Danio rerio: one gene and its partner. The protein of the gene in region 1 interacts with the protein of each later gene in a biochemical or structural test. Links are inferred from orthologs where the notes say so. Each region holds a gene or a part of one and is shown on either strand. Other genes may lie near its edges. The genes, in order: rasgrp3 and prkcba.

Region 1 (4,475 bases):
TTTCTCACACCCACACACAGACAAACATACACATTGCACGGTGAAAAAAAACGAATGCTTAACTGCAATGACTCGAGGGTTTTGCAGACAACTATGTAAATGTGAATAACTAACATTGGTAAATTGAAAACAATTTGTGCTCAAGGGGCTAATGATAGAATTCAGAAACCTAACGCACATCCCAAACCGCATATCTGTGCACTGTTCTATGCCAATTGTAGTATAAATACTGTAGTAATGCATTCACACACACACACACCAAATCCCAAAATAATAAGCACCCTTAAAAAGCTAAGATGTTGTACTAATTCAACCAACAGAATTAAGCATATAGAATGTTCTCATTGGTCACAGCTTTGGCTCACATAGCAGAAGGGGAGGAGCTTTAGAGCGTTGACGTTGGATTACTTTATTTATTTTGGATTGTGCAAATAAATTTCTCCAAATGATGATCCTTATGCTGGATGGACTCATGATACTGTAGGCTCCATTGTTATTTTGCTTATCAATTTCAGGAAGTTAGCAATTGTTAAACATCGTCTTGAAATGGTTTGAATTTCTGGTTAGTAGCAAAATGTTAGTGTTCAAACCTAAACTCATACACTACACACAATAGTGTATAGCGTCATTTGAGACACAACTCTAGTTATTGGTGACATTGATAGTGTGTTTAGCAACTGCAGCCACAGACTTATTGCTTGTGCTCATGCTCAAGACTGAACATAATGCGCAAATCAGGTAAAGTCAAGTCAAGCTAAGCTTTATTGTCAGTCCGCTACATGTGTGAACATACAGTGCCACAAAGTGTAGAGTCTCGCAGGACCACGGTGCTAGATAAATAAACATAATCATACATATGAATACTACACAAGATGTAGGAGCTATTTTCAAAGCCTAAACATAACTAACAAGTGTTAATCTAACTAACTACTAACTAAACATATAGTATTAATACTTCACTATACGCACAACCTAAGACAGACTTTACAAGTATTTTTACATAAGACGGAACAATATTGTGCAAGATAATGTGCAAAGGAGGTGTTTAAGTTTGAAGTAAACAAGTAGTGCATCATACTGTATACTTAATATACTGCAAAGGTGTTTTTTTAATTGTGTAGAAGTACAAGAGCCCCAGGAAACACTGTATGTTGCTATAATGTTCTTATGTGATTGCCATTGAGTTATGTTTTAGGAACTAAACAAGAATCATTTGCTAATGTTCTCTGTAAGTTCTTTTAAAACCTTCCAGGAACAAAAGGGAGCCCCCTTTTTGTACCAACTTAAAGTGAACATAGAAGAGAAAGTTCTGGCAACAAGCTCTGCAATGGCCCGCCATCATATCAACAGATGAGGTAGGTAAAGTTGCACTGTTATGGCAGTTCAGTTATATGTGTGTATATTAAATACAACAGACTTTGAATCAATCCATTTTCTTGGCATGCCACATGTGTTACAGTCCAGAATAGTTTTTTTTAGCATTATACTGATAACTGTAGCATTTGTTTCATGTTTCATACAACATAGAAGAGGTCACGGAACCAAGCATTATATCCACAAACTTCAGAATTTCTTGGAATCCTGAGTCCTTCAGACAAAAACAATTAAACAAAAAAACTGTCAGTAAGATTTGACAAACATTAAAGGAATAACTTTTTGGGAATTTGTTATCGGTTGTTCACACATTGCCAAAAATCATGAGTAAATAAAACTGCTTACAATATTAAGGACCAAACCAATGAACATGCATATGATTTTTTTTATTGTTACATCCAGCTGTAACCCAAATATAAATAATATTCAATAGTGTTTAAAAAAGAATGTGTAGAAACTCAAATGACAAAAAAAACATATTTGTTTTGTACTTTAAACAATATATAACAGTGTATTCATATTGTAATATATTGTATAATAATTATATTAATTTATTGTAAGTTGCATATATATAATTGTATGTGTGTGTGTGTGTGTGTGTGTGTGTGTGTGTATATATATATATATATATATATATATATATATATATATATATATATATATATATATATATATATATATATATATATATATACACACATAGTAATATATGTTTATGACAATATAAAGTACACAAAAACAAATGTAAATCAATTGAAATCACAAATGTATCCATAACACACAATCTCTGCACACTAGGGTAAAGTTGGTTTTATATTTGTACATTCATTCAGTGACAGCTCTCTATATTGTTTGTATGGTAATTTAAACAATTAAAATAAAATAACATGTAATTATGACTTTAAAACTACATTAGCACTATGTAATTGGCAAAATATTTGCTGTTTTTAATATTTGGAATATGCAGTGAATACTTTTGTGAAATTATATTATTAAGAAGAAAGTCTTAATGCATAAATGTAAAACCAACTTTATCTCAATTCTCTGCACAACATGATGGTCAGACTGACCTACTGTAACATCTAACTGACACTAAGGTCGTCAGAACAAACAGATGAATATCAGTGTTTTCCCCACTGCCTCCTATCCTATTATCACCACACAAACATGGCATAACACACCAGACAACTAAAAACGATACAACACCAACAACAACAACAACAAAAAAAACTTCTGACCTTCAAATTCCTCTATCAAAAATCTCTCAAGCTGCAACATGTTTGCGTTAAGAGTGTAAATTGTCCTTCTGTACTCTTCAGCTGATCACAGTAACACCGTCTGGCTTTAAACCACACATTTCACTGTGTAAAACTGACCCAACTGACAACATCTAGCATGCCATAGTTTGACAGTAATTTTATGTAACCACTAAACAAACCACTGGCTTTAATTAGGAGTGAGAATCTCTTATGTGATCAAGTAAAAGAGGTCTTACCTTATTGTGGATATCTTCACACTCAGGACAGATGTGAATAATGCAGCATACTTCTCTGTAAGTAAATGTTTCTCTGAACAAGAAAGAAAGACAGAAAGTATAAACTGCACGTCAGATGCACTGTTCAGTGAGATCAAAGCGCACACAATCAACAAGAGTGTGGTGTGCAAGAGCCGAGCATGTGATACTGACCCCACACAGATGCATGCTGCCGCTCTCCTCCCTCCGCTCTCTCTGGCCCTCCTCCTACACTCACACTCAGTCCCACCCCTCACCTCCCTTCACTCCGTCTCTTTCAGCTCCATCAATCAATCATTCTGTACCTTTCTTCCTCCTCCACCCCTCTCTCTCTTTCTTTCTCTCTCTCTCTCACACACACACATGCAGCTCCAGTACATTAATTACAGACGATAATAACATAGCAGAAAGCAAAGGCAACCCCTGCTGGATTGTAATAACATGGTAAATAAATGAAATAGAATATTTAAGTGCTACTGCATACATCAAGGTATGCTATAGTGCAGGCTTTCAGTTAATTATTTATTAACTGAAATATTACTTATTAACATTTATCTCAGCTGTTAAACGTGTTTGTTTTATTGTTCCTTTTTTGGATGGTCTCTTGCAGTATTTGGAGCTTAAAGAAGCACAAAAATATAATCATTTTAACAAATAAATCTTCCTTTAGACATGAAATGTTATTCACTTATAATATGGGCTTTTGGGCGACATAGTGGCACAGTGGGTAGCGCTTTCGCAAGGAGCAAGAATGCTGCTGGTTTAAGCCTCGGATCAGTTGGCATTTCTGTGTGGAATTTACAGGTGCTCCAGTTTACCCCACAGTCCAAAGACATGCAGTGTAGATGAATTGAATAAACTAAATTGGCCGTAGCGTGTGGGTGTGAATGCAAGACTGTATGGGTTTTTCCCAGTGCTGGGTTGCAACTGGAATGGCATCCACTGTATAAAACAAATGCTGGATAAGTTGGTGGTTCATTTTACGCAACCCTTGATTAATAAAGGGACTAAGCTGAAAAGAAAATGAACGAAATGAATAAATGAATGAATAGGGCTGTTTAATGCTTGATTCTGATTGGCTGATGGACACATTATTTTAACAAAAAAATGGCTGATGTGAAAATTATTTTAACATAAACACAAAGCCAATTTAGTAGGCTACCAAATAGGAGCAATTTAAGGCAAATATTAACCTCGCCAAAATAGTGAAACCCTTTTTTTATTTAGGCTTCTTAGGTGGCAAAGAATTCTGGCCCAGATTTGACATAAATCTGGCACAGCAGGCATTCATCCGGCACTGTCATACAGCATGTGGGCCAAACATGGCCCAGGTTTGGCAGAGGTGGCACCGTCTTTAAGGTGGCACGCAATACTTGGGCCAGATGTAAAATGTAGTATTTGGCCCAGATGTTGATAAATGATATGTGGGCCATGTACGTTTAGCTTATCTTGACCCACATTTAAAATACATTTGTATTATTTTCAAATAAAGAAAAAAGATTCTACCAATCAAGTCGCTTCAAGAAAAAGCACGCCTTGAGTGCAATGATTCATGGGTTTATCAATTTCATTGCAGTCAAGACACCAA
Region 2 (3,831 bases), on another chromosome or scaffold:
GTGATCTGTGAAAGCTCATTTCTGCCATGGTATCAAGAAAATTCTAATATTTTGTTTTCCTCTTTAGCCTCCTTTTGATGGTGAGGATGAAGATGAGCTGTTCCAGTCCATCATGGAGCATCACGTGTCTTACCCCAAATCCATGTCCAAAGAAGCAGTCGCCATATGCAAGGGGGTACGAGTTGCACAAGCTTCATACACTCTTGTCTACTCTCGCACACACTAATAGAGCTTTTGTGTTTGCAGCTGATGACCAAGCATCCCGGTAAACGTCTGGGCTGTGGACTGGAGGGCGAACGGGACATTAAAGAGCATGCTTTCTTCCGTTTCGTGGACTGGGAAAGACTGCAAAACAAGGAAGTTCAACCTCCATACAAACCCAAATCTGTAAGTAAAAATGCAGCTACGTGTGTGTGTAAGTGTTTATCTGGTTACTGCACCACACACATCAATAAAAGCGCAGTGGTGTTGTTTTTGCACTTTCTCTAGTATATACACTTACCGGCCACTTTATTAGGTACATCTGTCCAACTGCTAGTTGACGCAAATATCTAATTAGCCAATCACATGGTAGCAACTCGATGTATTTAGGCATGTAAACATGGTCAAGACGACCTGCTGCAGTTTAAACTGTGCATCAGAAGAAAGATTATTTAAGTGACTTTGAATGTGGCATGGTTGTTGGTGGCAGAGGGGCTGGTCTGAGTATTTCAGAAACTGCAGATCTACTGGGATTCAGAGAGAATGGTCTGAAAATGAGAAAATATCCAGTGAGCAGCAGTTCTGTGGGTGCAAATGCATTACTGATGCCAGAGGTCAGAGGAGAATGGGCAGACTGTTTGGAGCTGATAGAAAGGCGACAGTAACTCAAATAACCACTCGTTACAACCCAAGGTATGAGGAAGAGAACTCTGAACGCACAACAAGACAACCTTGAGGTAGATTGGCTACAGCAGCAGATGACCACACCTGGTGCCACTCCTGTCAGCTAAGAACAGGAAACTGAGGCTACAATTCACACAGGCTCACCAAAATTGGACAATAGAAGATTGGAGAAACGTTGCCAGGTCTGATGAGTCTTCATTTCTGCTGCAACATTCGGATGGTGGGGACAGAATTAGACATCAGCAACATGAAAGCATGGATCCATCCTGCTTTGTATCAGCGGTTCAGGCTGCTGGGGGTGCAATGGTGTGGGGTATATTTTCTTGGCACAATTTGGGCTCATTAGTACCACTTGAGCATCGTGTAGACACCACAGCCTGCCTGAGTATTGTTGCTGACCATGTCCATCCCTTTATGACCACAGTGTACCCATCTTCTACTACCAGCAGAATAACAAGCCATGCCATAATGCACGAATCATCTCAGACTGGTTTACTGAATATGTCAATGAGTTCACTGTACTCAAGTGGCCTCCACAGTCACCAGATTTCAATCCAATAGAGCACCTTTGGGATGTGGTATAACTGGAGATTCGCATCATGGATGTGCTGCTGACAAATCTGCAGCAACTATGATGCTATCATGTCAATATGTTGCAAAATGTCTGAGGAATATTTCCAGTATCTTGTTGAATTTATGCCATGGAGGATTAAGGCAGTTTTGAAGGCAAAAGTGGGTTCAACTCCGTACTAGTAAAGTGTACCTAATAAAGTGGCCGTTGAGTGTATTTTACCTGCAGTGATGAAGCACATTTTGTTATTTACGGGGCTAATTTTCAGAGATGTTTTTGTGACAAAGGTGCCTGCTCAGGAAATAAAACAACTCTTCTTGCTCTGCTCTTAAACCACAAAAAATCATGTAAACACAGATGTGTGAAGTGAGGCAATGGTTTGCTTTCACATTCAGAGACACAAATACTATTGAAAAGGCTTTTTTTAAGTGTTGTTTGGTGCGGTCTCACCCTAAAATAAAAAGTTTCAGACATTAAAGCCACACCGGAAGGGTATAAATGGCACTTTTTTTTCATGTTCTGTTGAAATTCTTGATTCTGATTGGCTGGAAAGTGTGCAGTAAAATCATGTAATGCACAGGTTTTTCCAGTCAGTTTTGATCACAGTAGAAGTAACCCTAGCAACTAGTAGTGACCCTAGCAACCCAGTAACAGTTGCCAGAGCCCAATTCATGCGTGCATCACCAGGGAGCTGATGTTGATCAACAAACTCACCAAAACGCTCAAAAATATTTGAGATTCAATATAAATACACTATATTTAGCAAAGAGGTAGATAACATTTGTAACTATGAGCTGTTTCAAGAGTTCACACTTAGATATTGCTTGACGCTATTAGCAGGTTTGGCATGCTGTCCTGGGAGAGAACCCTGAGCTTGGAGATAATTGAGCTCAGGGTTCTCGCCAGGTCTTTTAGCATGTAAGAGGGTCGGAGATCAGGTAGGGCTCGAGAGCTCCCCATAGTAAAGAAGGAAAAGAAGGAGATGGCGTGGAAGGGAAGGGAAGATTCTTCCAAAACAAAGATAGTTGGCTTAGATCAATCCGATTGGATTATTACCGATTATTATAAATGAGAGACCAGCCGCGATCAATCGTATCATGTGCTCCTATCGAAATAAGTTTAAAAACTTCACTAAATATGCCAGTATCATTTACACACAAACTCTTTCGGTCTGCCTGACATTGATTTAAACGGGATTAGGAGATAACTGAACTGAACTGATGTAAAAATGATCAAATATTGCAATGCAAAGAACAGAGCTAGTTTTAACTTCAGTGCTTAATTTGTAAATGAATAATTTCCGGAACAAAACCAGGTAAAAGTTACCGTGATCGATGTCCCCCACACATTTTCAGTTTTCCCAGAACATGACATCACTAAACAGTTATAGCGGGGATAAAAGCATCAAATTTCGGAACGATCTTTAATTATTTTGTGTCATTTAAGGTTATGGGTCAACCATGGATAAAAAACAAACATGTAACAAGCGTACAAACTTAAATCTTATGAAATGTCACTATTCAGTTTACTAACACCAATGGCATTCGGTTCATTTCACTTTTATGTGGCCTCTTTGGCATTTTGAAAATACAAATATTATTTAGGTAGGCCACTATGCCATTATTTATTTTCGTTGCTTATTGCGCACGAAACAATAAAAGCCAACCAATGAGACTGATTGTAAACCAAGAAAGCTGATTGGTCGAAAATATTGTTGTGGGCCAATAGTTAAACGTGACTTCTGCTTTAACTTGGGCATGCGGATTTTAAATGCGTCACGTGGTTCTTTATCTCCATGCGCATTTAAAAATCTTTTAGCAAATGAAAATTTGTTGATTTCTTTATTCATTTACTATTAAAAAAACTGAGATGAAACAATCTAATATAGAACCAACACCAACTGGCTGCCATGTGAGGATATTTGTGGAAAACAGTGTTGTGTAACACAGGCTATTTATCTGTGTTGGTGGACATCTCAGGTTAGTCAACGAATGCATGTGATTGGTAAAGCGCAACAACAGTTTCAACACTGGAAGCACGCAATTGCACTTATTAACCACCTGAGAAACTTGCATAGTTTTGCTTCAAAGTCGCCATGAAAGGGAGGTTATTTGTCATTTTTTTCTGCCATCGTGGCGTACATCCACTTGAAACAGTCCTACAATGAGTATAAAATGCATGCAGGTGCATGATTTTGTTCTTTGGGAACTGATTAAATTATTGAAAGAAGGGTTTTGCTAACAAAATGAAGGAAGACTGACGAATGGGGGCGAATTCAGACTAGAAATGAGACTCCTATTGATAGCCATTCCCTAAAGGAACTCCATGTGACCAGAAGTGAAAAGTCATTTCGAGAGTGGAGGGAAGGTTATGGG

What was found.
Region 2: of the proteins of rasgrp3 (region 1) and prkcba, one has a biochemical effect on the other in vitro, tested with the Homo sapiens proteins (2 studies listed by BioGRID). The link is inferred for Danio rerio from reciprocal best matches to the Homo sapiens genes RASGRP3 and PRKCB.

Annotation. Positions count from the first base shown.
Region 1 is NC_133192.1:24,445,540-24,450,014, reverse strand, and holds the start of rasgrp3 (ras guanyl-releasing protein 3), read right to left. Parts: upstream 3,112-4,475; 5' UTR 3,062-3,111; intron 3,059-3,061; exon of another isoform or gene 2,943-3,058; 5' UTR 2,870-2,942; intron 1-2,869. UniProt on the Homo sapiens protein: Guanine nucleotide exchange factor (GEF) for Ras and Rap1.
Region 2 is NC_133176.1:10,486,605-10,490,435, forward strand, and holds part of prkcba (protein kinase C, beta a), read left to right. Parts: intron 1-67; coding exon 68-175; intron 176-246; coding exon 247-387; intron 388-3,831. UniProt on the Homo sapiens protein: Calcium-activated, phospholipid- and diacylglycerol (DAG)-dependent serine/threonine-protein kinase involved in various cellular processes such as regulation of the B-cell receptor (BCR) signalosome, oxidative stress-induced apoptosis, androgen receptor-dependent transcription regulation, insulin signaling and endothelial cells proliferation.